Alligator mississippiensis: one gene and its partners. The protein of the gene in region 1 interacts with the protein of each later gene in a pairwise test. Links are inferred from orthologs where the notes say so. Each region holds a gene or a part of one and is shown on either strand. Other genes may lie near its edges.

Region 1 (7,261 bases):
CCAGGTCAAATATGACCCATCCACCATCACTTTCTGGGCGTGGCCTGGCCTCTCTCTGGGTGTGCCAATATGCGACCCATCTGACTGTGTAGGCATCAATGCCACAGTCGCCTAGCTTTTTAACGAGAATGGGGTGGAATGACCAAGGTCCTTTTCTGTCTCTGTGCTGACGAGAAGGGAGTTCCCCAGCCTGCTGGTTCTTCCTCCTCAGGTGCAATACCTTGCACTTGTCAGTATTGAAACCCATCCTGTTCTTATCCACCCACCCCTGTAACCTGTCTGTATCTAGTTGCAGCCTGCCCCTCTCCTCCAGCGTGCCCAGAGGATGTTCTTGTCACAGCTGCTTCACAGTATGGTTCTCCAGGAGATGCCCAGAACAGTTGCACTTGGATGTAGTGGCAATCACAGCAGTATCCCAGTTGAGAGCCACTGCCCTAAAGATGGGAGAATCCATTGACATGCTGACAGAGCCCATGATAATTTTATGCTTATGTTAAAAAAAAAAAGTTCTTGTGCTTATTACAGCAAGTTCTTGTGCTTATTACAGTCTTGTCCCCCCCAGACTATTTGCCTTTTTGTCCTAAACTAAGATAAATCAGGTCAATTTATACCCCCTTTATTCCACTCACAAGAATCCCATTCATATCCATAGGAGTCCTTCATAGGGAGGGAAAGTAGAAGAGCATTTTATTTTATTTTGCTGTCTACACATCATTCCTATCTCAATTAATGTGGTGCAAATCAGGAGCAATTCCAATGCAACTAATTGAGAATTTCTTGTGTAAGTAACCAGGAAAATCAAACCTGGGGAAGTTTTCCTAAAATGAGTGGGATAGGAGCTAATGACTGCACTGCTGTCATCTTGTGCTATTGTGGGAAAAGGAAAATGTTAGGAGTTAGTAAACCCCTTACTGAATTGAAGAAGGAGTTACCTGGAAAGCTATGGCAGTACATCTGATTCTCAATCAGGGTGCCACCAAATTAAAAAAAAAAGTTAAGGAGGGGTGTCCTGACTCTCAAAAGATTGAGAACCAATGTCCTAAACAATATTCCAGCATGGTCTTGCCTGATAAATGCTTGCCCAAATAGGAAGATCGTGCAGCACTTCCAGATGTACAGATTTGTGCTTTGGGACACCTCAAGGGAGAGGGAGCTCCAAAGCTGAGGGGCTACTATTGAGAATGACCTCCCACATGCTTTTGCCAAATGAAATAGTCTATAGTTTAGCCCCCTTTACACCAAAAAGACCTTTACATATTAGTGATTTGCATAAGAAATACATAGAACAGGCAGCAATCAAACCTAAAAATGCTTCACAAAATCATTCTTCCTACCATACAGCTCATTTGCTGGCTGAAATCTCAAAAAAGACACACAAATAGTATGTCCAAGCTGCCCCGAGCAAGTCTGCATGGCAGCTGAGAAACAAACCCTCCACACGTGTACCCAAGCCCAGGTTTGCATGTTGTCAAGGCAGATGACTTGGAGCAGGCTTGAGTGTATGCCTCAGCAGAGAGAGGCACAACAATTTGCTGGAGTGCACCTGAAGGAGCAATCCAAGTCCTCTACTAGGCTAATTTGTGGGCCTAGGTTTATGTGGAGTGATGTGGTTTATTTCTCCTCAGTGCACCCAGACTCACTCAGAAGGCTATTTAAGCTCATTTTTATTCTGCTCCATGCTGACTCCAAGGCTATAAACAAACAGTACCTTGATTCTCAGATAAATCATTTTATCCCATGACGAAGTGCAATTGTTCAGACGTCCAAGTCTGTTGTCTCAGGATAAGTCTTAAAAAGGTTCAACGGATAAGAAGTACTGTTTATCCTGGAACACCAAAAAGTGCATCTGAACAGTTACCCTGGGAGTGCATCATTGAACCAATGGAAGAAAAGCTGCAGTGCACTCAGCCACTCATTAAACCCCGATCAGAAGGGTGATACAAGTAAAAGCCAATCCCGGGACACTTCTACTCTGGGACAAACGTAGGCATGACTTGTCCAGGGATACAGACAAGCTACAATTGCTCTCTAGGATGAAATCCCATTGATGTATGCTGTTTCACGAAAACCTGGGAGCAAGGTATGCAAAGCAGCTATATAACCTGCTCTGCAATGCTCTGTTGCTGACAACTGTTTACAACACAGACTTAAGTTTGGGTAGAATCTTACACCGGTCTTCCTCGTTGTATGAAGGCACAACAACAGAGAGCTCCTTTGTAGGTGGGTCATGTATGCTTGGTACAGAGTCCTTCTTGCCTTCAGCATTCACAAAGAACTTCTCCTCTTCATGTCGTTGAAAGCTTGGCATTTTTGTGGCAGTTACATGGGCAGTGATACACACCTGAAGAAAAAAAAAACAAGAAGAGTATTTATGACCAAATGCTTTAGTGACCTATCTACACTTATGGTTTGCATAATGGTATTTGGTAAACATCATGCAAGCTTCTCTCACTAGGTGAAATAAGAGATATGCATAGATGTAACCGTTATACTGGTATTACTCTATAGCCAAGATAAGTGCACCATCTCTCTGCTCTTATGCAAGGATAAACGGAGCTAAGACAATGTAAGGTCAAAGTTGAAAGAAATTAGTTCACTTACAGCGGTACAGAAGTGAACAGACTGAACTGTTAAATTGGAATGGCTGATATGCAATCCTAAGTCTCCCACTTTTGGTTTAAAGTTGCAACTGCCTACAACCAGGGATGAGCAAAGGTGATCCACTGGCAAAAAGTAATCCACAGTCATTCCTATTACAAATAAGGTGGAGTCATCTCTTGAGGAGCCCTCTCCTCTGTTGCCCAGATCAAAGAGGACCTACAGTCCTCATATGGCATTCATGGGTCCCATTTTACGCATACCACATTTGACCTTTGGATTGTAGTAGGTGGCCAACGTAATTTTGAAGTGGAATAGATGCTTTTGACTAAAGGACTGATCTAAGCTCCCACAAACTTGTTACGCTCAATGCTCTGCTGACTGCGAGCTGCACTGTATCTAAACCTTGTTATTATGTGTACTGCCGAAATAGCAGTGTTGCAACCATTATTGTTAGGGTCTAAAATATCAAGATCTTATTCTTGCCTGGGACTGCCTAGGTAAGGTAGACATGATGGTAAACTAGGAAGCAGAGCATAAAAGAACTTGTTTCCCATTTTGTTTAAACAAACTCCATGCATGCACATATGTGCGCATACACAAAGGGCTGCTTAAAAACACCAGGCAACGTGCAACCATTTTCAACACTTTTGTGATTTCATCACCACACACGCATGTATGTGCACAAACACATACTCCGAGTGGAGGAACAGCGCGGTCCACACGCTGGGAGGAGGATGCATGTAGCAACCAGTGATGGTTGATGCTTCAAGCGCTCCACGCCACAAAGCTTCAAAACAAAAGCTGATTTGCCAACGCTGATTTAGCCACATGACCTGTACATGCAGGCTGCTGCTTTGTTTCAACCTCTGTTTTCACATTAGTAAGTGTTACTAAGAGTTTTTACAAGTAAAAGGAGATGTCACAAGTGCACAAAGGGACTAAAAAATAGGTGTGGGGGGCGCATCTTACCAGCCCAGCCATGGGGCTGGGATACACTTTTGCAAGCTTCTGAACATGAAGCATTTTAGCAACAGGGTGCACGGCGCAAGTGAAGCAGCACCATCAGGCTGCCCTTATGCTCTGCTAGAACTTGTCATTGTAGAAAATGTGGGTTGGAGGGACCTCAGGAGGTCACAGCGAGTCCAGCAGGACCAGCCCCAACTGGATCATCCCAACCAAGGCTTCGGGTAACCAGCTCTTAAAATCCTCCAAGGTTTCCAAGCTTCCCAGCCCGCGCAACCTCGGGTCCCTTCTCTCCCGGTACACCTAGCACAGCGGTGCCCCCGCCCCAGCCTGGCCCGCGGGGGGCTCCAGAGGGCAGGGCGGCGGGGCCATATGACGCAGCGCTGGGGCCAGGGCCGTCCCTCCCCCCGGGGGCGCCGGGGGTGGCGCGACGCGGCCTCCCGGCCCCCGCTCCGTGACACAATTTGCGCCAGGCCCTGGCTCATGGCGCAGGCAGCGGGGCCCGGCCACACTCACCAAGCTGAGGGCGGCGGTCGCCAGAAGGCCCAGCGCCGCGGCCGCCACGACTAGCAGCGGCAGTGCCATGGGGCAGTGCCAGCGAGGCGGAAGCAGCTCTGCGAGACCCGGAAGAGAACTGCAGCGGGTAAGGAAAACTTCCGGGGTACAGCCCCAGCGCCGCCAACGGCGCAGGAGTGGGGGGATGACCCCGGATGTACATCCTTAAACCCGGAAGCGGGGCGGAAGTAGCACCATGGCGGCCGGATTCAAGTAAGGTTCTCGTCTATCCCGCGGGCTGCGGCAGGTCTCGCTGCGGCCGCACAGGTCTCGGGGGAAGGGGCTGGTGGAGCTCCCGCCGGCCGGGTCCGTTGGCGGCGGGCAGCCTCCAGCTGCCCGGGTCCCTGCGGCCGAGGCGGGGCGCAGCTTTTCCCAGGTTTTAAGTATGAAACTGTGGTATTACTAGCTCGAAATTATGGTATTTGTTGAAAATTTTTCGTACGCCGAATAATTGTGCAAATGAGAATGCAAAGACGTCTTCTCGCTTGCTGGCTGTTGCTCGCTGCTCGTTGTCAGTGAGTGAGTGAGAGAGACCTGGGCCACCAAAGTTGAAGCATTTATTTTGAGGCAGGCCGTAGTAAGGAAGTGCTGGCAGCAAGGCCAAAAGCGTGGTTAAGACCCTCCGAGGGAGATTTGGGTGTTGTGTATGCGGCATCAATTAACGCCCATAAAAATGATCTTATGTTTTGAACGCTTTTACTCTGATTGATTGTACATTGTATAATAGTTGAAATCATCGCACGAATATGATACTGTACACCAGGCAACACTGCCAGGGTGCGTCCCCTGAGGGAAGCTGCTGCTTCCCCCCCTCCCTTCCATACCTGGTTCAGCCCTGGGGCCGCAGGGCCGTCTCCCCTCCCAGCATCACTGGGAGCTGCCCAAGGGGTCCAGCCTCCACGCCTAGTTCTGAGCCTCCAAGCCTCACTCCTGCCTCCACGTTGCCTTCTTTCATCCCAGGAAACCAGGTGCTGCTTTCTCAGCGGCTGCCTCTGCTGAGGGAGTCTTGTAGCTCTGCTTGAGCAGGGCCCCAGTCCCTTGGAAGCCACCAGCTGGACCTGTGTCACACAGCTGTCAGAGCCTGCAAGGATGTCTCCCTGTCCCTGCTTTGTTCATGTCTCTGGGCAGCTTCATGGGCAGAGTCTGTTGGTTCCTTTGAGGGCCGGTGGGCACTGCCCTAGTGTGCTGTCCCCCCTCCATGTCCCCCTTCAGAGCACTTTTGTTAAACTCATGACCTCGCTCCCATCCCTGTTTTCTCTTTAGTTGTTCCCTAAACTCAGGTTCCCTCCCCTCCACCCCCATCTGTGTCCCATGGTGGCAGCCAGTGGATGCTGAAAGGGAGAGTGAACAGGGGCAGGGTTTTCCCTGTTGTTCCTCTCCTACTTGCAGGCTCCAGCATTTAAGGTTTGGTAAATTCAGATTCTGCTCAAGAGCTGTTGATGCCCCTTTCCTCTGAGTATTTGTCCAGTCCCTTTTGGAATCTGGTTACATGGGCAGCTTCCACAACATGGCATGAGAATTGATCTTTCCTCAGCTGAAGTATTTTGTGAGCTGTAGATCTTGGTGTAGCCAAGAAATAGCTAAGGGGGAAATTTAAAGCAACCAGGACCCTGTCTCAAGTCTTGGGTAGGCTGGAAGGGAGGGATCTGTTTGGAGCAAAAGAAGGTTAGGTCTTGAAGTGCTTGGACAAAGGGTGTGTTTCAAGGAATTTAGCCAAGGGAGGAATTGTACAGCCATCCAGCTTTCTTTCCCCCCCTCCCCTATGTCTCTTGTTCACCCTCAGTGAAGTGGGACATAGATCCTACAGCCTGAGCCAGTGGGAAGTCATACCTGTATTGATGCCAGTTAGGAGCTTCACAGGGTGACTTATTGGGAATTGCCTTTAAACTCGTTTTCCTGATTTGTGATGCCAAAATATGTATACAGAGAAACTAAATTAATTCTCAGGATTACTATACCTGTGGCTGTCTCCAAAAATACATGTTTGAACAAAACCTAAGAAAGCCTTGTACCGAGGTACATTCCTTTCCAGGAAATGCTGTGCTATTTTAATGGCAGTGTTACAGACTGCCATAGCTATTTTCAGGTATAGATTTGCTACTGATGATCATCTCCTTCTCCTCCACCTCTCTCAGTGTTGTTAGTTTGAAGAGATGTCCAATGTAATGGTATAAAATGAATGAATTGTACAAAAGACTGTTCTGTGGGTGATTGACAAAAAGTTCCATGTTTGCCAAACATTATTGTTTCTGAGCCCTTTCTTTTTTTCAGGGCCACCATCTTTCTAGAATCTGAATTCATGTCTCAAATCCATCACAAAAATCATGATAGAGTATTCTAGTATGTTGTTGGGAGTGCTGGCTAGCTTTCTGTCCAAACATAGTCAACAGACAGACAGGACTTGACTGTCAAACTTGGCTAAACCGCAAAGCACTAAGCTTCTTGCTAGGTTTTGACTAGCCAATTCAGTTTTGTGAAACAGCTTTTTCCATAAGAATTTTTCTGTTTTTTTCCAGAACTGTGGAACCTTTGGAGTATTACAGAAGATTTTTGGTGAGTAAAGCATTATACGTGTCTAAATTATGTAGACTGAAATTATTTTTTTCTTTTCTGTTGTTCTCTTTAACCCATATATACACCACAGTAGGGTTTTGGCAAGGTTGCACAACTCAAAAGTTTTCTGAGGGCCATTTGTAAAATACATTTTCCAATGGAAGCTGTCACTGGTAAGATTTGCTTTGATCAGATATAAGCCCTTAGCCATGTGTACAGCCAGGTAACTGGACTTCACATGCAGTCACATGCACACTTGAACAATCTGTTGTACAGGGAGGACAACAGGACTCACTATTAATTTTTCACATCCTTTTTCATTTAGTATAGTGGCTTAATAAAGAATTATGACAAATTACTGGGCTTGATCTGATGGACTATGTTGTACATCCCTACCTTTGGATTGTCCTTCAAACATATAATAGAAGAGATTGTTCAGATTCTTCTATTTTGCGGCTCTTACTCTGCATGCATTTAACTTGATATACAAATAGTACTATGGACTTCAAAGGGAGTCCTGATGTGTGCAAGGTTTAGACGTGTGCTTAAATTAGTACAGGGCATCAGCCTAACTTTGGCTTAATGGGAT
Region 2 (7,225 bases), on another chromosome or scaffold:
ACTGACCCCAAGGCCAAGCAGCTATACCCATGCTTTCCCCAGCTCTGTTTCTTCCCTGCAGTGCAGATGCAGCTTTCAGCTGGGTCAGGGCTAGGCGTGCGCAAACTGTATCCATGCTGCTGCCCCTTTCCGCAGATCCCCCCCAAGCTGTGGTGTGGGAGTGGGGGTTTGGAGAACCATGCACAATTCCTGGCCCTGGTGTGGGGAAAGTGCTCCCTGCCTCCTGCTGGACAGCTGGCCTGTGCTGGCCCAAAGCTGGGTTGTTCTGGCCTACAGGTTGTAAAAGGTTGCCAGCCCCTGCTTTAAACTGTTAGAAAAAGATGCATCTTTCCCAGCACTTTATGCTGCAGCTTGGTTTACTTAGCGCAAATAGTTTTAATAATTTGTTGTATACCTGTTCAAAGGTTGTGTGTGGGAAGAAAAACTGCTGGTTTTCAGCAGCAGATCTGTATGTCAGCATGAACTGACCCAGAGTAAGAAATTCTAATTATCTGCTACAAGCAAGAAAATCAGCGAACAGTATGTATTAATCTTTTGAAGGGCAGTATTAACAAGAGAGAATTACACCTATGGCTTTGAGTAGACAATTCAGATACGGGAGAAAGAAGCTTGGAACCACCCTTGCTTGCCAAAGCAAACCACTGTCAGTCTCTTAGAATCTGAACACCAGATTGTGATAGCCAAACTCTTATTGGGATGTATCTCTCCCTGCAGCTTCTTCCACTGACTTCAGAAGAACAACTTGTGATGTAAAGCTGCAGTAGGCAACCTTTTCTGGCTGCAGGATGGAATGATTCACCTCTGGTTTGAGGTGGGCAGGAACAAGGACTTGTCCACAATCAGTGCTTCTGCCCACAGCAGTAAGGAAAATGCCTATATTCAAAGCCCCCCACTGCTGAATGTCCACGTCAACTCCAGATCTGGCCTGTGGGTTACAAGTTGCCAACCCCTGATGAAAAGTACTACTCCATGTAGTTAAGAATTGCAGTACTGAATCAGAACGTATCAAAATAATGGTCTAGAGCAGGTAGCAGGGCAACCGTTTTGACAGGTGTGCCACAAATTAGCTCCACCCTCTCACCAAGTGCCACGCTGATCCCATTCTTCTGTCTGTTCTGCTGCTCTGCTTTCTGCTTCCAGCTGTATGCTCCCTGCCTCATCTGCTTGCTTCTTCCTTTCCTTCCCTGTACTCCCTGCTCAATTTGCTGCTTTGCTTTCTGCTTTGTGTCCTATCTGCCGCTGTGCTGCCTGTCCTCTCCCTGATTTGCTGTGTGTCACACACACAGGCTGCCTGGGCCACTTATGCCACCTGTGCTGCAGGTTGGCCACCCTGATCTAGAGGCCATTCTTCTGTCTCCAAACAAATGGCCAGATGAAGATGAAGCCCTCCTACAGAATATGTTTGCATGTAACTGGCCTAAAATGAGTTTTTCTTCTCAATCCCATACTGCCAGTGGTTGATTTACTAAATATATCCTAAAGTATGAGCCTTCATGACGGTTATTAGAGTTATCCTAACTAATTTAAATGCTTATATAAAATGCCCAATTCTTGTTTTGGTTTCCATTAAACAGAGGTCCATAATATCAGATGACAGTGAATTCACAAGTTAAATACACATTTGAATAATAATAAACCTTTATTGGTTTTGAGGTCTTGGCTTTTTAAATGTATGGTTCATTATTCTTACATTCTGAGAAAATGAGAAAATAAGTCTGCTCAACTGAAGCCTTTTTATTATAATATGTTACTGCATATTTGTCTCCTGTCAGCTAAAACAGATCTAGTTGTCCCGTCTGCTCAAATATCTCTTTGTGAAGGAAATGTCTTCAGTTTAGAATTATTTTCATTGCCCTGTTTTAGATCTTTTATACTTATTATTAAAAAAGGCAAAATAAACAACTCATGAAAAGAAACTTTGCTAGAATAAAGACAATAGTATTATCTTTACATTTTGATTTCTTTCCTAGAATGTAACCTAGCTTAGTCCTCCCTAACTTCTACCTACAGATTTAAAGAAACTTTTAACTAAGCTCCTTTGTTTCTGTTATTCTCTTTTGGAGACTGGATGACCAAAATTGGACAGTGTATTCAGTGTGCTACCTCTTTGTATAATAACTTTCAAAACCTATGTTAAAAAGAAGTCAACATTTCTTCCCAACTCCAACTCCTTGTCCCGCTTCACTCCCTCCAGAGCCCATGGCCATCAGCTCTCATTCCCACTGTCTTCTTATCAGACTGCTACTTCTCCAGTGATCCTTGAGTGCAAGGATAAGTTGGATGACTCCCAAGTGTCTGGGCCTGGGTTAACAGTAAGCCTGCAGCAATTACAGAAAAAAGTTTTGCTCATCCCTAAGCATGGAGCCTTTGCAGCCTATAGCTGCCAAACTCCAGCAAATCTTTACTGAACAGTGAGCCTCCCCGACACATTATTTTTAAGGCTGATAACTTGACCAAATCTGAACAGGTTGCCCTATTGGAACAGGAAAAGACTCATCCTTTACAACATGGAAAAGGTTGTCTGCTAGCTCTCAAGCCCTTGCTCTGTAGCATAGAGACACTTCCAAAGATAACTGTAAAACCTCAGCTAACATTTTTTGGGGGGGAGGGGGAGGGTAGCAAGGTTGTTTTTGCCTCATCTTGTCTTCTGAAATGGCAGAAGTATTTGGCTGAAAAACTGATTCAGATTCAATGTTTTTTTTGGAGACACCCTTTTTTGGAAGAAGTTTAATAATAACCAGTGGTGTTAAACCTTTTGGTGCCAGGGGCCAGATGAGTGGCACGGATCCTTTGTGCTGGACTGGGCCCTGTACTGCTTCCCTGGGGTCCACTCTGACTCTGCTCAGCCTTGCACTGGAGGACTGAGCCCCTGCACTGCCTCCAGCTGGTCTCTGCATGCCCACCCAGCCTGCAGACAGTGCCAGATTTAGGCTTAAACTACTTAAGATACAGTTTAGGGCCTCACAATATGAAGGGCCTCTAAATAAGAAAAAAAAATCTGGACATTTTCATTCTAATATGACAAAAATATACATATATATGGCTCCACAGTTATTATTCATATTGAGTTCATAAATGTGTGCAGAAATAATAATATTGCATCTTAAAATTTCATGAAAACCCATTTTCGTGGATTTTGTGGATTATTTTTATCTTATGGAGCCTCTTAAACGACATAGTTTAGAGCCTCAGCATGTCATAATCTGGCACTGCCCATGGGGCTCCCCACAGGTCTGGCCATTTGGTAGCACAACAATGGCAACTACTGCCACATTCTCCCCACCCCCCACATTTTTAGATCTGTTCTGGCTGCGGGGGCTCCTGCAGGCCAGGCTACACCTATTCAGTTTAGAAAAAGAGATGGTTCAGGGGGCACAACAAGGGCCTTCCAAATATTAAACAGGAAGATAAAGTAGATAGGGATTTATTATTTACTCCCTCTCACAAGTCAAGAACAAGGGGGGTCACAACAGGAAAACTAGTAGGTAGTAAGTTTGAAAAAAAAGCATAAGGAAGTTTTCACACTGCTTCTCCTTGATGGGTAGAACTCGTTGCTACCAGATGTGGAAGCTGAGTTTGGCCAGCTTCAAAAAAAGGGGTTGTACAAAGTCTTGGGAGGAAAGGGGCAGCACTAGTGGTGGAGCAGGGGAGTTAGTGGCACAGGCCTTGAATCATAACTTCTCAAACCCTAAATGCTGGAGGCTGCACGCAAGAAAGAAAGTGGGCAGGGGCGGGAACCCTGTATCACGCCCAGTTCACTCCGCATCCGCATCCAGGGCTACAGGACTGAGCCAGATAGACCTATGGTCTGCCCTAGTGAAAGGCTGTTCTTACGTGTTGCTAGATCTAAGCGCCCAGATCTAGGCCACACCTGATGCGGGATACTCGCCCACACACGTGTGGGCTGTGCCAGGCAGCGCAGCGCCAGGGCTCTAAGCAGCTCCCATCCCATTGGCCAGAACGCGTGTGTGGAGAGGCAGAAGGGAGTGCGGCCACCTGGGTTCCAGAGCAGCCTGATTCCGCCCCCTGGTTCTGGCCCCGCCCCCTGCCAGAGCACCTTGTTTCTGCCCTGAGGCAAGAACGGTGTCCCTGGACTGTACCATTCTCTGATTCCGGGTTGGCGGCGTGGGAGGGAGGGCGTGCATCAGCTTATTCCCCAGCCTCGCTTCCGCTTTTTGTGGGACTGACAATTTCTCGCACGTTAGTTATGCCTTAGTAGTGTCGCCCGATTCTTCCTCCCTCCCCCCCTTCACACATGGTACAAGCCACAGGTGCCCTGCTCAGGTGTGGCCGGTAGGACAAACCACGAGCGCAGACAGAGAGGGCACATTAGCATCATAGGAAGGCGACGCAGGCTGAGCAGCCTCCGTGGGATATTGAAGCGTCTGCACCGCAGCCGCCGGGGCCATTGGGAAGCGGAGGAGGCGGAGCCCTTGTGGCTCCGGGCCTGCCCAGGCCTTGGTAAGTGCCACTCCCGGAGGTGGGGAGGGCGGCATCATCCATGACAACGGCCCCCCGGACTGCCGAGCGTGGGGCACGCGGGGTGGGGGAGGCGGCACGAGGCGTTCTTGGTCGCGTCCCAGCGGTCTGGGTTCATGATGCAGTCGCACCCGCTGTAGGGGGAGGCGGTAAGAATTGAGGGGCCGCTCTGCAGGCGGTGGGGGGTTACCCCCCTCATGGAAGCGGCCGGGAGCAGTGCACATGCGCCACCCCGAAGCCGCTGGGGCTGGACAGAAGCCAAAGCAAGTTGTTGCTAGCTGCAGGACGCTGCATTGGGGCAGTAGCACTGGGGCCTGAAATAAGGATGTCAAGGGACCTTTTTTTAGACTTGATCTAAAAAGCACTTTTTTTAGCTGCTTGCTGGCGTTGGGGTTACAGCACGGCTTGGCCAGGTTTAGCAAGCCTATAGTCCAGCTGGGTTGCTTCTGAAACCCTGCCAGGCAGGCTGGGTCAGCAGCGCAGAGTGGCTTCGCACAGTGGAGGATACCCAGACAGGCTTATTACTGGGTGGGTGGCGAGGTCTCGGGGCCCCTCAGAAGCTGCTGCCGTGGCTGGAGGCGAGTTCCAGGCTCCCCCACCTCTGCCCATCTGGCTTTTTTTTGAGAATTTTTGTGTGTTGCAGGTCAAATTAGCCAGATCAGTTTACAATCCTTTAAATGGTTGAAAAAACGTATGCGGCCCTTCTACTGGCAAGTATCTTCCACCCCAGTCTTTTCAGCTGGGGGCTTCAGATGCTTCCAAATCCATGGGCCTGCATACAAGATGCCTGCCAAAGCCTGGAGGCTTGGGGTTTGGATGCCCCCAAGTTTCGCTTGCCATCAGCCAACAGCCCCAGGAGCAAGCTAGGGAGGATCCCCCCCATTTCCATAAAATTGGTGTGTAGCCAAGATCCTCCCACTGGAAGCTGGCCAGTGAGACTCTCATAGGGAGTCTTGTCTGCATTTGGACCCTGCAGGGTGCACACTCCACTACACAGTGCCATTTTAAATCCAGCTTGGCTCTAGTATCAGACCAGTGCAGCTTACTTAGCTCACAAGGGGCTGAAAATAGGGGAGGGAGGGAGGGGGTGTTATAGAGTTCAAGTTCAAATACCTGTATTCCCATCCATTCCCCTGAGATAAGGAGCTCTTGACCAATTCGGTAAGAAGCAGGGAAACTTGAGTCATGACCTGTGACCATTGTTTGCTGTTATTGCTATGGGGTCGCCCTATTAGCATTAGGTGTCATCAGTTGTATCCCACTTAAAAGCTGTGTGGAAAATCCAAGTACAATGACTTAAGCCGTTGGGGGCCCGGCTAAGAAACGAATGGTGTTAATACCATTACCTGTAAAAAGTGCTGTGTTACATTCAATTCCCTATGCAGACTATCTGGTTTTAGTCTCTAGACTTTGTGACAGGGTGAAAAAGCAATGGGAAGAGCTTAGGGCTGCCAGCATGACCCAGGTGACAAAAAGAAGTCCATGTTACTGGCCTGTGCATCTCCACACCTGTGAAACTATCCCTCCAAATCGCTTCTCTTGCATGCTGATTATTGTGGTTTGGACTGAACTCCTGGGATCAAAGTATCTGGGAGGAGGAATGTATGATGTACTTATTGCAGCAAAAGGGGGTAAGGGTTGGGGGAGTCCTGAACACCCCTGTGGAAGGCTCTGTTACTGCTACCCCATATGCTGGTTTTCAGCTTCCCAGTCAGAGGGCTGCAGATGGCTGACACCAACTTTAAAACAAGCATTTAGGATCCTGTTGGGTACAAAGGGGTCAAAAACAAGTGAAAAGAAATGTGTAAGTCTATTAGGGGGGTAGGGCACCCTTGTTTAGAAGAATGTAGATTCAATTATGTCATTAACAAGGATTTTTTTGACTTGGCCACTTTAATTTGCTAGGCCTTATGCACCCCAGGTATTCAAATAGGGATGTAGATCATTGTGACATGGAAAGATTAGTGGGTTTGCACCAAGTAAAAACACAGCAATGGAGCAACAAAAACTAATTGTTTAAATTGTAGGGTAATGATACAGTACTCAGTTTAAAACTCAGCTTACCATATATGCAAATAATGAGATCCCAAGGGAGAAGAAATACAAACTTCAAAAAAGTTACCTTGCTTCTGGTCTGCTCTTTAGGGAAGGTTTTTCCTTTTTTTTTTTTTTTTTTTTAATGCCAAGTAAGATTTCAGTCAGTTATATTAGAACTTATTTGAGAAACATGAGCAGAAAAGTGTACCAGTTAGGTACCACATGCAGTCAGTTGTCCCAGTCTGCCAGAGACAGGGTTTCAGAGGTTGTAGTCCTGCTTTGAGCAGGGGGTTGGACTAGATCAGCTGTTCTCAACCTTTTTCGTACCAAAACCCATTTGTAAACATTGATGGCCAGTCCTGACCCAGTACCCAGTTTTAAGTAGAAAACAACCCACAGCCCTGCTGATGGCCCTCACTCCTGACCCGCTGCCCCAGGCCCCAGCTCCCCCATTGTGAGGCAAGGGGGACCTCCAAGCAGCCCCTTACAGGCTGAAACTCTGTCAGCCTGCAAGGGAAAACCTGCAGCTTATCACATTTTTCTCTTAAACGACAATCCAGTTTTAAAGTTTGTTGATCCATTTTTTAAGTGCGTTTGCAACCCTTTCATATATTTTTGTGACCCACAGGTTGAGAAACGCCAGACTAGATGGCCTCCTAAGGTCCCTTCCAACTCTCATTGTCTATGATTCTGCAACATGCCTCTATAG
Region 3 (7,999 bases), on another chromosome or scaffold:
CTGCAGGCCTCAGTGGCCAGCTGGCATAGTGAAGACCTGTGCTTGGCAGGAGGCCCGCAGCTCCTCTGGGAGCATAACCTGGCTGCACCCAGCCCTGTTGTCTCCGATTCCTGGACCAGGGTAGTACTGCCCTGCTTCAGCCCTGCAGTTTTTCTGTGACGGCCTTTTGGCTCCACCTCCAGGACCAACAGGATTGTGGTGGTAGGGGGCGAACTTGCTCTGCCATTGCTCTGTCAGACCCATGGTCCTAGCACTGTCCAAGCAGTCCCTGGGGCACTCAAAGGAATCCCCTGACCATTGCTGTGGTGGCTGTATGCAAAAGGATTGAGAAGGTGTGAACACCCTTACCACAAGGACACCCTCAGCGGGTCGCTCCAGGGTGAAGGAAGGGGGTTGGGCTCTCTCCGTCCCCTCTACAGCCACCTCACTCACAGAGGGTCAGAAAGACCCTGGTGCCCCTGTCCCCTCCTGCCACGCCTCACACTAAGGCCAAGGTGGGGGATGCTGTTCAGCCAGTCACTGTTCCCAGGGCTGCTTCTCTCCTGGAGCTGGAACTGGTGCAGGGGCCTTGGCAGGCTGTGCTCCTCCCTGCAGGCAGTGGGCTGTTCAAGAGTGGTCCCCCTGGTCTCTGAACCCCCCCACCCCTATCTCTATCAGCCTGTGGTGACACAGTACTGGGCAACCAGGGGCAGGGCAGCTAGTAACAAAGGACATAGAACCCACCTCTGTGTACACCTCCTAAAGCCAGATGCTTGGCTTGTCTTTTTCCCCTTCCCTCCCCCTCCCCCCAGTGGAGGAACAGAGGAGAGGGGACAAGGGCTTGGAGGTTCAAGCCTCTAGCTCAGGGGTGGGCAAAATGCAGCCCAGGGGCTGGATGCGGCCCGCCAGGCCATTCTATCTGGCCCACGGGGCCCCTAAAAAATTTAGAAAATTAATATTAATCTGCCTTGGGCTGCCTGTCATGCGGCCCTCAATGGCTTACCAAAACTCAGTAAGTGGCCCTCTGCCCAAAATAATTGCCTGCCCCTGGTCTAGCTTGTCCTCCAGAGATACAAGAGATGTGCAACCATACTCCACTGTACTCCAATTTCTGCCCGGTCAACCCTAGAGTACCAGGGGCTCAGCTCAGAAGTGAAAAAGCAAATACAGATAGATGATGCATCCCACCAGGGAAGAACTGGTGGCCTCCCAAGCTTTGCTGTGAGCTGGAAGGGGTCTCATAGCATCCTATTACTCTGGGCTTGCCTTCTAAATATATTTCCCAGGAGACACTATGACTCTCTTGCATGCTAAATAATTTTATTTAACAGAAAATAGGCGCCTTTGGTGATGCTGGTTGTGTTATGCAGCACAGTCTCCTGCTCAACTGAAAACTAGCCACAAATTGAGAAACATTCTGTAACCTTGTGGGGTGGGCTGGTGATTCAAGGGCTGCTGTTGTGGTTTTGTCACCAGGAACCTTCAAGGAACACATTATTTTCACTGATGAAAACTGACACAATTCAGTTGCTGTGAACCCATTTCCACTGAAGGTAATTCTTCAGTAGAACTGGCCAACATTAGAGGTGGAATCCTGAGATACTGGACAATACTTTTGTGATCAGCAGAGGGGGCAAGAAGCTACTTTGTAAATAAAAGCAATTTTCCAGTGTTTAAAAGGAAGTTACTGCTGCTTCCAGGAAAAGGAATTCCCAGCATAGGCAGCTGCAGTGCAAGTTTCTCTTATATTGATCCACCCATGTATGTCTCATCTGTCACCTGGAAGGACTCCTGTCTGTGTCGGGGAGCTCTTTCCTCTGGCTCCACTCAATCCCTGTTCTCCCCCAGAATAAGGTGGCTGGATAGGAGTGGCATGTTTTGGGGTCTTTTTTTTTTTTTAACATCACAGATGTTTGTATGTTAGAAACTGGCCAGTGACCCACCCATCACTTCTATTCAGTGGGCTGCATGAAAAGCCACTAGCACTTTGGTTGCTTACTACCTTGGCTGAACTGATAGCAGAGAAGCTAATAGCAGCCTTCTAGCTAGGCAGCCATGTCAGGAAACCCTTGTTAAATAATTGGGCCAAACCCTGAGATTCCTGCTCACAACACGGCTACAACCTAAACCCCTGCTCAGCGGTTCTTAATTCTCCCTAAAGCAAATTCCCATTGAATCCAATGAGAGCTTCCAGGTCTGCATCTGTAGGATGTTTTAGACATATTGGTACTGTAGTGGTACCATGCCCCACCCAGTACTTCTACCAGCATGTTTCAGACTGGAAGTAAAGCTGATGAGAAGCCATTCTCTAGCCCTCAGTTTCCAGAGTGCTTGAGAGCAGCCACGGAGCAGTCTCCCTGGTACCTGTCCTGGTTTGAGCATTTTGGCAGTAGGTGAGTGAGGTATGCTTGGAGCTGTCCTAATTGGGGCATACACCACAGTGTAGGCATCCCTTACCGTGCCCAAGCATGATACACTGCTCTGGGTAGGCTGCCCCTAAACCAGGAGCAGTGTAGCTACATTGGCCTAGGTGGACTAATAAGCTTGAAGTAGACTAATCTGTATTGTCGGTCATGCAACAACATTAATTAGCTTGCCTCAAATGCTGCAGAAACGTGGCTACTATGCTTCAGATTTAGGAGGCAGCTCATCCAGAACAGTATGCTTAAAGATGCATTAGGATGGTAAGTTTACCATACAGATTCTGTCTTTGACTAGAGGGATTGGAATTTGGGCCCCTGTAAATGTATTGAATTAACAGGTCTGTCAAAGGGATTTGTCTTCATATCTAGTTGCCTTGGCACAAAGCTTTGTTCTCATGTCTATTGTAAATACAATATTAGTTCTAGCTGATACAGTGCTATAAGAATAATAATCTACACAACTGACCGATGTCAGGTACAATCAGAACAGGAAAGTTTTATGAGGTCTATCCTGGGGCTGAGCGGGACAGTAAGGAGCAGTGCGCAGAGCAAGCTCTCTATTTCCTTTTTCCAACAACTTCTGTCCCTGCACTTTTTTCCTTTCTTCTGCATTCTCATCTCCTTACTGTGCTGTTATTTTTGCAATTCTCCCCTCCAGCCTTTCCTGTTCTCTAGTTTGTTCCTTTACAATCTTCGGTTTTCCCTTTTCATTCCTTCTCCCTTCTTTGCTCCTGCCTTTTTTCTCAGTTTGGTGTTTTATAAAGATGGCAAAGGGAAGCAAAACAATTTACAGTCCCGATTCTGCAAAGATGTCCTCATGAACTTAGCCTGATGTTGTAAGGAATCCTGTTTATTTCAATGGGTCCATTCAGACAATGCATAAAGTTAAGCATGTGTGTGTGAACTGCTACTTAGTTAGGGACTATTTGATGGTTTTGCTCCCTCCCCACTTCAAGCATCAACTTCAGGAGAACCTCATCTGTCATAAATATATGTATATGTTCTAGCTCTTGTGGCTGCAGAGAAATAGTTGTAAATGTGACCCCTAGAACCTTAAAAGCCAGAATGCAAATAGACCACAAAAAACAGAGCTGGCAGGAACCTGGAGTCTCTCCAGGGCAACCCCCAGCTCAAGGCAGGAACCCACAGTGTAAGGAATTTATCCCATGATTTGAGGGGCCTTACACATGTTTTTTGAATGTTCAGGGCTGGTGGTGCTCTGTATGAAGTCCTTGTAGGATCTCCGAGTTTTCTCTTGCACATCCAGGTAGAGCTAGATACAAAGGAACAGGATTAGTCAGTTTCTCTTCCACATAAAGCGAGCTGGATGCAATAGGAAACTGAGCAGAATTAGTCAATTTCCCCTTGCCTCTGCTCCCCACCTCTCCCTGCTGCTGGGCTCCACCTGGACCCCCCTCCCCCCACTTCTGCTCCTGCCTTCCAGCTGCTAAACGACAAAGTGAAATTAAACTGCAGTCACTTGGAGGGGGAACCAGCCCCCTGTCAGAAAGTTTCAGCAGCCTCTGCATCACCTGTTCCTCTTCCTTTACTCCCCCTGCCTTTCCTACTCCATGCACAGACCGCAGCAAGTTCCACACAGCTCGATCTAACAGCCACTGAACCCGTTCGCAGGCACTTAACTGTTTGGTCCTGACAGCACTTTTCTATGACTTTGTATCCGTGTAGTAAGGTCTGTGGCTCCCATGGAATAGCTCTATTGCCGTGTCCAGGTTTGGTTTCAGCAACGTTATTTAAAGGGGAAAATGACCTTACTGTAGAAACACATGTACCGGAGCTGGGAAAGGCCCCTTACTGGACTTAGCCTTCACCTAGAAACGGAAGCGCTCCCCAGGCCTCCAACACCATGACCCTAACACCTGCCAGCGCAGCTGTAAACTGGCTTGAAACCCTTTGATTCCCACTGAGACAGAGAGCAATTTGAACCCAGCAATGGGAAGCAGGGGCTGGGCGGCAGGAATCCATGGGCTGCCTGCAGGCCCCCGGACCTGCCGCTTCCGCCCCTGCAGACCAGGGCAGCTTGACGGGCACCTGTCCCTCTCCGAGGGGAAACAGCCTCTTAACCCCGCTCTGTGCCCGGCCTGCTGCTTTCCCCGAAGACGAGCGGCTCCCGCAGTGTTTGGCCCGCAGGTGCTGCCAGGCTCCCCCTCGGGCAGGCCGAGACCCGGCGGGGAGCGGCTGGCCGCTTCCCCGGGCCGGGCGCCTTCTGCATCCTGCCACCCCCGCGGGCTGCGGGCCCGGGCAGCCCCCCGCCGCCCCAGCCACGTGCGGCTCCGCCCGCCCGCCCTTCCCACGTGGGGCCCAGCGGCGCGGCGCGGGTCGGGCCAGTCCTGCCGCAGCGGGGCCCGGGGGTCGCAGCCGGCTCCGCCATGTGCGGGCCCAGCCCAACCCCTCGCGGCGCCCCGCCCCCCCCGCCCCGCGCCCGCTCCCGCTCCCGCTCCGAGCTGTCAGCTGACGGCCGCATCACCCCGTAGTGGCGCAGGGAGCCGGGCGGCCCCGCGGCGGCGGGGGGCGCGGGGGGGCGCGGCGCGGCGCGGGGGGGCGCGGGCGGCGGCGCGGGCGCGGGGGGGCGGCGGGCGGGCGCGGGGGGCGGCGCGGCGGGGCCGGGGCCGCGGCAAATAGTCCTTTGTTTACATGGGCCGGGGCTGGCGGAGGCGGCGCCGCCGGGGGAGGGAGCGCTGCGCTCGCACCAGCTGTTTCCCGCCTTGAGACAGACACACGCCCGCACACACACACACACACACAGACACAGACACACGCGCACATACACGCGCGCGCACACAGACACACACACATACACGCGCGCACACGCACCCACACGGGCCGGGGCTCGGCTCGGCTCGGCTCAGATCAGCTGCGCGCGGCGCGGCCGCCCCGCCGGGCCCCCGCCCGCCCGCCCGGCATGGAGTACTTCATGGTGCCCGCGCAGAAGATGCCCTCGCTGCAGCACTTCAGGAAATCCGAGAAGGAGGTGATCGGCGGGCTCTGCAGGTGGGTGCCCGCCCGCGCCAGGGCCGGTGGGGCAGGGCAGGGCAGGGCAGGGCAGGGCAGGGCAGGGGGCGCGGGGCGGCGGCGGAGGGAGAGCGGGGCGCGGGGAGGCCGGTGGATGGCAGGAGCACGTGGGTCTGTTTGCAGCGCCCGGCCATGCTGCTCCGCTGGCTCCGGCTCCTGCCGCCGCACGCGGCGCCTGCCAGCCCGCCCGCCGCCCCGCGCCGCCCCCCCGAGCGGCACTGCACGGCGCGGCACGGCGCGGCGCGGGGGTCCCGGGCGGGGCCGGGCGGCCGTACAATGCAGCCACGCGGGCGCCGGCGCGGGGCTGCGGGCGGGCGCGGGGGCCGGGCCGGGCGGGGCCGGGCGGGCGCGGGGGGCCCGAGGCGGCGGGGGCCGGGAAGCCGGGGCCGCCCGCGCCGTCCCCGCGCGCTTGGGGAGCTTTAAAGGGGGGTGTGTTTACTCCGGGCCTGGCCGTGACTCTGCAGCCTCCCGCAGGAGGCGGGTCTGGCCGCGCGGCCGCCGGGATATGTAGTGCGGCGCGCGGGCATTGTGGGGGCTGTAGGCGCCGCCGGCCACGCGCCCGGCCGCCAGGCCCCGGCCCCTAGTCTCTTCTCCCCGGCCCGGCCCGGCCCGGCCCGCGGGAGGCGGCGGCGCTGCAGCTCGGGGTGCGGGGCGAGCGCGGCCACGCGGCTGCTCGGGCTGGGCCCTGGGTGCCCCCGTGAGAGGCTCGGATGGGCCGCTACCCCCGGCCAGCCCAGCCCGACCCGTCTCCCGCTCCTCCTGTGCGGAGGCCCCGGCCCGGCCGCTTGCCCGTGCCCGGCAGGTCCTGGTCCTCGGCCGTGGTCGCTAAGGCCGTGGGGAAGAGCGGGGCACGCTCCTGCGTCTCTTGACTGAGTCCCATGGCCGGGCTCTTGTCAGACCTCCAAAAAGTTTGGCCCGGGGGGAACTGCTCGTCAGGCCTTGCTGCAAGCTCGGGGAACAAGGACGGGTCCAGCAGCTCTTCTCTTCCTCACTTTGCAGTTTAGCCACTTCCCAGCTACACCCACACAGGGACTGACTTTTTTGCTTCAGAGGTGGTTGGACTCTTAAACTTGTCTCCTTATTTGCTCATTGAAAGCCTGGGTTCAAAATACTCCAGGTAGTTTGGATCTGCCTCCCCAGTTCATTTGAATGTAATATTCATGAGGATCTTAGTTCTGGTTTTAGCCTCAAGGGACAGTTGCTGGATTTAGCGGAGGCCAGTGCATATGTTACAAAAAGCATCTTCCAAATACACCCTCAATTCTGAGTGCAGCACTGAAAAGTCTCGTCTATGTGCTGTGTGCTGGCTTGAATAGTAGTATCTCCCCTTGGCCTATTTAGATCACCATGGGACAGGTGGTGTGAGAGTGGTGATGATGGTCATCTTTTAGTTAAGCAAATTGGAGAGCTTAGTTTGTGTATATATACGGCCTTGTCTAGGAAGAGTATGCCACCACTGCTGCCACCACCATGTATATTTCTGTGGCTTGTTAATCTGCATGTTTCAGGGAAGCTTAATTTTTTCACTCTCGCAGCCCCTTGGAAAGTTGAAAGTGAAACATTTCTTGGGTTGGCACACCTGGACTCTTCCAGATTAGTTTCTAATTGCTGCTCCTGAATGGTTTCCCATGATTTTTGGTTGCTGGAGGGGGAAAAAAAAATAACTACTTGTTTCAGTAAAAATAAATTCACTACCAGAATGGGCTTTGCAAGCTGGTATGAGAAACAGAGCAAAGTTATGTCAGGTTTTGGGCCACAATCCTCGACAGCGGCTTTGCGCAGAACCTGTCAATGGTACATTAAGACAGATTTTATGGTTGACTTGGTCTTTGCTTTTGCTCAGTGCCTGGAACATCTGCTTGCCACAATATGTCATTAACTTCTGCAAGTGCAGGATGACTTCCTATAGTCTGTTCCTTTGCCCCAGGCTTGCAGGCAGGCTGCATCTGCAAAGCACGCAGGTAAAGGGTCTTAGCACCACAGTTGCTTTCTATAGGAACTTTTGCTTTGTGGCAAGATTGACTCCTGCTTGTGTAAGAACAAATGGCACTGGAGGGAGTGAAACAGTTTCCAAATACCTCCTTGTACAAGTGAATCAAGTCACTTCTACAGCCTGCAAGATGGCCTGTTGCTTAAAGCCTCCTTATTTTCAGTGTCTGGAGACTTGGATGTGTTGATGAAGCGAATCTCTATCAAAGCTGTGTACTTGGAGTGTGGATGTTGCAAGGTTTAACTGACGCTGGCTGGTAAAGAACAGCATTGTACACACCTGTGGGTCCAGATAAAAGCTAAGTCGACCTAAAGAAAAAGCAAATCTTATCTTCTCTTATCTTTTATAGCTGCTTTATTCTGCTGGGTAACCACCCAGTGTTTGTACTCTGCTTGGAAGAGAACTTCATGCTGATTTTATTTTTTCACACCTAACTGAGCCTGGCCTTCCCCATGGCTCTTGACTCCAGGGTAGAATCTCTTAGGACCTTGCTGCATATGCCACTCCCAGGCATGGGATGCTCAAGCTGACTTGCCCAAATTTCTTCTCTCTTGTAATTGAAAGAGGTACCTCAGGC
Region 4 (7,305 bases), on another chromosome or scaffold:
TGCCAGGCGCTGGTGGCCCCTGTAAATTCACTGCCTCACACTGGCCCTGGCCCCACACTGCCCAGGGGGGCCTGGAACGGGGCCAGCCTCAGCTGTACTGCCGGGTCAGAGAGGATGGAGCCCACGGGACTCCCGTGCCTGCCCCACATCGTCCCTGGGAAGAGTGACTCATCCAGGGGTACAACACTGGGCAGCCAAGGGAGACCCATTGTCCCCTGATTTTTGCATGGGGCACTGTTGGGCTACAGCTGCGAGCTGCGCCTTGCCTGCTCCACACCTCGCTGCTGCCTTTGAAAGCAACATGGTTCCATGCAAGTCCCACTGCTGGGCGGGCCGGGCAGCGAGGCACAGGGCGCCAAGCCACACCACTTTCAAAGGCAGTAGTGAGACATGGAGCAGGCAGAGCGCAGCTTGTAGCTGTAGCCCGCTGGTGCCCTGTGCAAAGATCAGGGGGCCACAAGCCCCACTTGGCTGCCCAGTGCTGTGCCCCTGGCGGTGCCACCAGGCTCGTTGTCCCATGACCCGACCCAGCCAGGACCCCATTCACTGTGAACGTAGCTCCAGCCAGGCTGGGCTGTGGGACAATGAGATCCCAGCGGGTCGTCCAGGGGCACAGCGTGGGGAAGCCAAAGGGGAAATGTGCCCCAACTCCCCTCCTATGCACACGGCAGCAGGGAGCTGGCCCTCCCCCTCCCCTGGACAAACTACCTGCAGCCCCGTCCTGCTCCCCTCTGGGGCCCTGCAGCCGCACACTGAGGCCCCAGACCCAAGGCCCACCTGGCTGGGCAGCAGCCTGCCCTGCTCCCTTCCTACAGGAGCCTCAATCCCCCTCTCCCCCACTTACCTGATGCAGCTGCTCTGAAGACTGCCCGAGGCCACTGCATGTTTTTGCACATGGCGCCCTGTCTTCCGCCTTCCTCCTAACAGCTTTTTACCCAGGCTGGGGCATCAATACAAGTGCCCCGCTGCCCACTTAAACAAGTAGCTGATTTTAATTATTCAAATTGGTCAAGTGTTTCCACTACGCATGCACCATTGGGGCAGTAAGGAGATCGCCCCAAGGTCCCTTATTGTGCATATGCAGAGTGGACAGGAACAGCCTACATAATCATGACATGATAGGTCATGTTGTTTTGAAACTGGTGGGGCAGCGCCTGAGCACCCGCCCTGCTGCCTGGCAGGCCGCCTGTGCATGTGTGCGAGGCCCTGGCTGGGACGCACCTCCCCCTTGGCGTTGGCGTCCTCCACGATCTGCAGGAAACGCTGGATCTGCTCCACGGATGGGGGGCAGAAGTCAGGGATGCGGAGGCGATGGACCTGGATGCCAGGGCAGGTGTCGTGGTAGGGTGGGCTGCGCTCGCTCAACGACACCAGGTGTCGGATGCCGTGCTCATGCATGTACTGGTAGTGTGCAGGCAGTCGCGGCATTGCCAGCCCTGCCAGCTTGTCGGGCACCACCCAGGAGAAGTTTGGAGGGACGGCTGATGCCATCACAGCTGCAGCAAGAGAGAAGCAAGTGAGCGAGCTGCCCAGCACACACTTTCTGCAGGTCCTCCCACCACAGTCCTAGCCTAGCTCCCACCAGGCCCCTCTGCCCCAGGGCTCTGCCACGATCCCCATTCCCTGGCTCCTGTATCACAACCCAGTGGCTCCAACTCCCGCTGCTTCCTGCTGGGGTGGAGAGGATGGTGGCACCTACTCCATGCCATGCATACTGCATCCCCACACTGCCTGGCCAAGGGGTTGGCCCAGCAGCTCCCTGTAGGCTGGGAAGGGGCAGAGGAGTTGGTTAGGGCCCCTCGAGACATGTACCCCATCCTGCCCTGCCCTGTCCCAAAGCCGCACAGCCTGGCTCCTTCCTCCCAGAGTGGCAGCATCAGCTGCCACAGCCCAGCCTGCAAACCCACTGTGCAACCTGCTGCCACGACATCCACTGCAACGTCTGCACGACAGCAGGACTGGGAGGTAGAGATGCAGAAACACTGCGACTGATGACAGCAGCAAGGAGAGCTGGAAAACGGGCTGGCGCCCACTTCTGCACTGCCAGGAATGGAGCTGGTCAGTCCCAGCCCAGGGCCACAGCCACAGGGAAAAGGCCCAGCAGCACAACCAGCCCGACGCAGCCCCTGCAGAGATCTCTGGCTGGGCCCAAGATAGCCACAGATACCCAAGTCATCCCTGAGTCTCCAGCCTCACTCTCGGCAAACGGCCTGGAGCCGACAGCAGCCACAACCAGACTCCCACAGTACCCCTCCGCCCCATGGACGTCCCTTCCCTGGAGCGCGGAGGTCGCTGTGGACCCTGATCTACACTGAGCCGTGCAGCTGAGGGCAGATGAGCCTCCCACGCCAGGGCTGCGGCATCCTGGCCTAGTGGCACGAGGGCCATCGCACCCCTGGAAGGCAGAGGAGGGACAGGGCGCACTGCAGCTGCCCCACGCGGGCAGGCCCAGCCTGGTCAGCCACGGGCACCTGCAGCTCCCACCGAGGGCGGCGCAGATTCCCCCTCCGCTGGGGACGCGGCAGGCTTGGGGCAGCCCGTGCCACCCCACCCCACCCGCCTGTGCCCGGCAGCCAGCGGGCCTCACCCAGCGAAGCGCTTCTCCCCGGGGAGCTGGCGGCTGGGCTTTCACCGCGCGCTAGCCACTGCCCGAGCCGGGAAACGACTTGTCTTCAAAAGGGGGCTAGACAGACACCTGGCCCGGGTCGCTTGACCCCGCGCTCTTCCCTGCCACGGCAGAGGGTCGCACTTGACCTGCTCAGGAAACGCAGTTCCGCTCCCGCCCCCGAGCTCGGCCCGCCCCGCCCCGCCCCGCCCCGCCCCGCCGGGGCGCTCGGGGACCCGCCGCAACGTAAGGCCGGAGTGTTGCCTCCGGAGTGAGCCTCTAGCAGAGCTCCCGGGACGTGGCGGCAGCGTGTCCCGGGGGGTCAAAGGGACGTACTCGGCACGTCTGCACAGAGGAAGCGGAAGCTGGAAAAGGCAGGAGGCTTTTGTGCGCTCGCTCTTTGTGGTGGGAGGGGAGCAGGACAGGACGTTTGTTGGGCCGTGACGTTTATCCTCCCAAATCGGCCACAGTTCGGCCTGTTCCGTGTGTCAGGGGGGTTGTGGTAGGTGTATGTGTATGTGTTTCTTTATTTTTATATATGGAAATATATCTATGTTCTCCACAAAAAAAAAACCAGCCTCCCAAGACCACGGCCTGTCACTGCAGTCTGCCCTTCCCGAGGGCCACTCGGGCGCTGTTCTGCCAGGTCTCTAGGTGAAGGCACTGTGCAAATCCCTGCGGCAGGTGGCAGTCGGGCTCCAGTTCCCAGTACCTTCTAGTTCTTACTGTTTTGCTGAAACGGGTCCTGGCTCTCGTCCTAGCCGCCCTGGGCGAGTCCTCTTGTCCCCGGACAGGACGGCTGATGCTCTGTGAGCCGCGTGTCTGGAGTAGTACAAAGCTGTAGCTGTGACGCTGACCCTGCACATCCCTTCTCAGCGCGCGCAGGGCAGTGCATGGGGGCCCGGCAGGCTCCTCAAACCCAAGCTTTGGCTGCAGAAGTTCTCAGTATTTTGGCATAGTTAAGAATGGCCTTTTGGCTCACATCAAGTGTAGTCCTTGTTCAGGCAGGGGAGATGCCAGGATCACCTTGAATGCTGTTGTGTAGTTAAGAACGGAGACGTGTCCAGTGCACTGGGCACAACCTGCCCTACGAGAGTCTACTGTAGCCGCCCGACGGCAAGAACTCCGCTATGCACTTTATTTTTATGGAGATGGGAGATTTCTCCATAGCTTGCTCCTTTGACTTTTTGGCTCAGGACAAGCAAGACTCAGGGGCATCTGAACCCCAAGGCGTGTAGGATGCTGCCACAGATCTGGAGGTGTTTGAAGGGTCTGGGCAGGAGGAAACTTGCCAGTGGTTGAACCATGCAGACCTCAACGATGGAGCCTTGCTTAGTCAATAGAATTCGAAACTGATTTGGAAACGTAATTAAAAAAATTTAATAAAAAAAGAAGACAACCTCAGCTAGGAGCTGCTTGGCCTTTTGGCTAAGAGCAAGCAAGGCAGGGGGTGCACGTAGGATGCCTGCCTGGAGTATCCAAAGCCCCAGACGGATGGGTCTGGGAGGGAGGATACTTGCCTGGAGGTAAACCACATGGGCATGACAACTGAGTTCTGCTCAGTCAAATTTTGGAACTTGGGCTTTGTCCAATAGAATTGGAACTGATTTGGCCTTGATAAGGATTTTTTTTTTGGTAAAAATATATGTCCATATATATATATATATATATATATATATATATCCTTTCCCAGCAGGACCAGGCACCTAAGGAAGAAGCAGCCCGGGGAATGCCCTCCACAGCAGAGTGGCAGACGGTCACATCCAGGACCGGAGCTGCTCACAGCGAACAGGTACCAGTCCCTCTAGTCCAACTGGAGAACAGGTACGAGGCCCTGGTGACCCTGCAGGAGATGGAAGGAGAGGAGGAAACCCTTGGGCAGGAAGAAACACCACATTCTTCACACTCCCAACAGGTCAAGAGATCCAAGAGGACCCAGAGGAGGAGGCGACGAGTGCTCGTCATAGGCAACTCCATCCTGAGAGGTACGGAAGGGCCCATCTGTCGCCAGGACCCCTCAACACGAGAGGTATACTGCCTGCCTGGAGCAAAGATTCGGGATGTGACGGAGGTAATCCAGGCCAGGATCAAGCCCACCGATTACTACCCCATGGTCCTAGTCCACGTGGGTACTAATGATGCGGCCAGGAGAACCCCTGATCACCTGATGGCGGACTACCATGCTCTGGGCAGCGTGCTGAGGGGTTTCGGTGCACAGGTGGTGTTCTCTTCCATCCTACCAGTGAACGGACGCGGAAGACGGCAGGAGAACTGCATCCGAGAGACCAACTGGCGGCTTCGGCAGTGGTGTCTCGAGGCAGGCTTCGGCTTCCTGGACAATGACCCGCACATCACGACGAGGGACATGCTCAGTTGGGATGGGCTTCACCTGTCCCCCAAAGGTAAGCGTGTGTTTTCTACTAAGTTGGCGGATCTCCTCCAGCAGGCTTTAAACTAGGCTCACCGGGGGAAAGGGAAGATGAGGGCGGGGGAAGCTGTGGACCACCAAACCATGTGGCACCCACAAGGACAGCCCAGCCTGAAGAAAGAGAACATTGGGAACCTGCAAGCCGCAGGGCGGCCAGCACTACGGCACAGGTAAGAAACTAGAAGGTAAGAAATAAGGGGCCCCTTGGGACTCGGAGCGGGGGGGCAGCAAAGGCACCTGTCGCAGGGCTCAAGTGCCTATATACGAATGCTAGGAGCATGGGAAACAAGCAGGATGAACTAGCGCTCCTGCTTGCACAACACACCTATGACTTAGTGGGGCTAACAGAGACCTGGTGGGATTCATCCCACGACTGGGCGGTACATATTGAGGGTTACAGATTGTATAGAAAGGACAGGGTGGGGAAAAAAGGGGGAGGGGTTGCACTCTATGTCAATGAGCAATATACATCGACCCTCATCAAGACAGAATCCGAGGTTGAGGAAGTAGAAGGATTGTGGGTTAGGCTACATGGGGGGCAAAGGGAAAGGGATTTGGTGGTAGGGGTCTGCTACAGACCCTCACATCAAGGGGAAGAAAGAGATTCGGGGCTCCTGAGGCAGCTCTCAGAGACCATAAAAGCTAAAGAGGCAGTAGTCATGGGGGACCTAAACTACCCGGACATCTGCTGGGAGACGCAGACGGCAAAGTCCCACCGCTCACGCAGGTTTCTAACCTGTGTACAGGACCCCCACCTGACACAGGACATACATGGTCCCACTAGGGGGAATGCCATACTGGATCTGGTATTGGCAACGGGGGATGACATGGTAGGGGACCTACAGATCAGTAGCCAGCTGGGGGACAGTGATCACCTAATAATAGAATTCACCATAAGACGTCGAGTGGGTAAGGTAACTAGTAGGGTGAAAGTGCTAGACTTCAGGAAAGCTGATTTAAATGAACTCAGGCGATTAGTCAAGGACGCACTGCGGAGTAGGAGTTTTGAAGGGATGGGAGCCCAAGAAGGGTGGCTGTGCCTTAAGGAAATGATCCTTCGGGCACAAAGCGAGACGATCCCCGTGCGAGGTAAAAGAGGGAAAGGGGCCAGGAGGCTTTCCTGGCTGACCAGAGAAATCCAGGGCAGCCTAAGGGCCAAAAGGGGAGCACATAAAAAGTGGAAACAGGGAGAGATCACTAAAGATGAATATACCTCCTCTGCTCGTGCTTGTAGGGAGGCAGTTAGACAAGCCAAAGCTACCATGGAGCTGAGGATGGCAACCCAAATAAAAGACAACAAGAAATTGTTTTTTAGATATATAGGGAGTAAAAGGAAGGCCCAGGGAGGAATAGGACCCCTGCTAAATGGGCAGAAACAATTGGCGATGGACAGGAGGGACAAGGCTGAACTCCTCGACGAGTTCTTTGCCTCAGTGTTCCTAAGTGAGGGGCAAGACAAGTCTCTCACTGGGGTTGTAGAGAGGCAGCAGCAAGGCGCCAGACTTCCATGCGTAGACCCTGAGACGGTGCAGAGTCACTTGGAAGAATTGGGTGCCTTTAAGTCGGCAGGCCCGGATGAGCTCCATCCGAGGGTGCTGAAGGCACTGGCCGACATTGCAGAGCCACTGGCGGGAATATTTGAACGCTCGTGGCGCACGGGCCAAGTCCCGGAGGACTGGAAAAGGGCCAATGTGGTCCCTATTTTCAAGAAGGGGAGGAAGGAGGACCTGGGCAACTATAGACCTGTCAGTCTCACCTCCATCCATGGCAAAGTCTTTGAAAAAATTATCAAGGCTCAATATTGCCAGAGCCCGGCAGGACAAATTATGCTGAGGGGAAACCAGCACGGGTTCGTGGCAGGCAGATCGTGCCTGACCAATCTAGTCTCTTTTTATGACCGGGTTATGAAACGCCTGGACACAGGAGGAGGGGTGGATGTCATATACTTAGACTTCAGGAAGGCCTTCGATACGGTATCCCATCCCATACTGGTGAACAAGTTAAGAGGCTGTGACTTGGATGCCTACACAGTCCGGTGGGTGGCGAATTGGCTGGAGGGTCGCACCCAGAGAGTCGTGGTGGATGGGTCGGTCTCGACCTGGAAGGGTGTGGGCAGTGGGGTCCCGCAGGGCTCGGTCCTTGGACCGATACTCTTTAATGTCTTCATCAGCGACTTGGACGAGGGAGTGAAGTGTACTCCGTCCAAGTTTGCAGATGACACAAAGCTATGGGGAGAAGTGGACACGCTGGAGGGCAGGGAACAGCTGCAAGC

What was found.
Region 2: the proteins of EXOSC8 (region 1) and OTUD4 interact in binary tests that used the Homo sapiens proteins (3 or more experiments, as listed by UniProt). The two-hybrid records come from large-scale screens. The link is inferred for Alligator mississippiensis from reciprocal best matches to the Homo sapiens genes EXOSC8 and OTUD4.
Region 3: the proteins of EXOSC8 (region 1) and TFAP4 interact in binary tests that used the Homo sapiens proteins (3 or more experiments, as listed by UniProt). The two-hybrid records come from large-scale screens. The link is inferred for Alligator mississippiensis from reciprocal best matches to the Homo sapiens genes EXOSC8 and TFAP4.
Region 4: the proteins of EXOSC8 (region 1) and DUSP23 interact in binary tests that used the Homo sapiens proteins (3 or more experiments, as listed by UniProt). The two-hybrid records come from large-scale screens. The link is inferred for Alligator mississippiensis from reciprocal best matches to the Homo sapiens genes EXOSC8 and DUSP23.

Annotation. Positions count from the first base shown.
Region 1 is NC_081824.1:420,423,970-420,431,230, reverse strand, and holds the start of EXOSC8 (exosome complex component RRP43), read left to right. Parts: upstream 1-4,246; 5' UTR 4,247-4,315; coding exon 4,316-4,332; intron 4,333-6,635; coding exon 6,636-6,672; intron 6,673-7,261. Other genes in the region: ALG5 (dolichyl-phosphate beta-glucosyltransferase), read right to left, coding at 2,170-2,341, 4,081-4,149. UniProt on the Homo sapiens protein: Non-catalytic component of the RNA exosome complex which has 3'->5' exoribonuclease activity and participates in a multitude of cellular RNA processing and degradation events.
Region 2 is NC_081825.1:101,278,753-101,285,977, forward strand, and holds the start of OTUD4 (OTU domain-containing protein 4), read left to right. Parts: upstream 1-4,214; 5' UTR 4,215-4,461; intron 4,462-7,225.
Region 3 is NC_081836.1:24,934,007-24,942,005, reverse strand, and holds the start of TFAP4 (transcription factor AP-4), read left to right. Parts: upstream 1-4,998; 5' UTR 4,999-5,322; coding exon 5,323-5,411; intron 5,412-7,999.
Region 4 is NC_081838.1:22,712,378-22,719,682, forward strand, and holds the start of DUSP23 (dual specificity protein phosphatase 23), read right to left. Parts: upstream 3,006-7,305; 5' UTR 2,942-3,005; exon of another isoform or gene 2,588-2,941; intron 2,036-2,587; exon of another isoform or gene 1,908-2,035; intron 1,497-1,907; 5' UTR 1,492-1,496; coding exon 1,222-1,491; intron 1-1,221. Other genes in the region: RNA-directed DNA polymerase from mobile element jockey, read left to right, coding at 5,312-7,305. UniProt on the Homo sapiens protein: Protein phosphatase that mediates dephosphorylation of proteins phosphorylated on Tyr and Ser/Thr residues. In vitro, it can dephosphorylate p44-ERK1 (MAPK3) but not p54 SAPK-beta (MAPK10) in vitro. Able to enhance activation of JNK and p38 (MAPK14).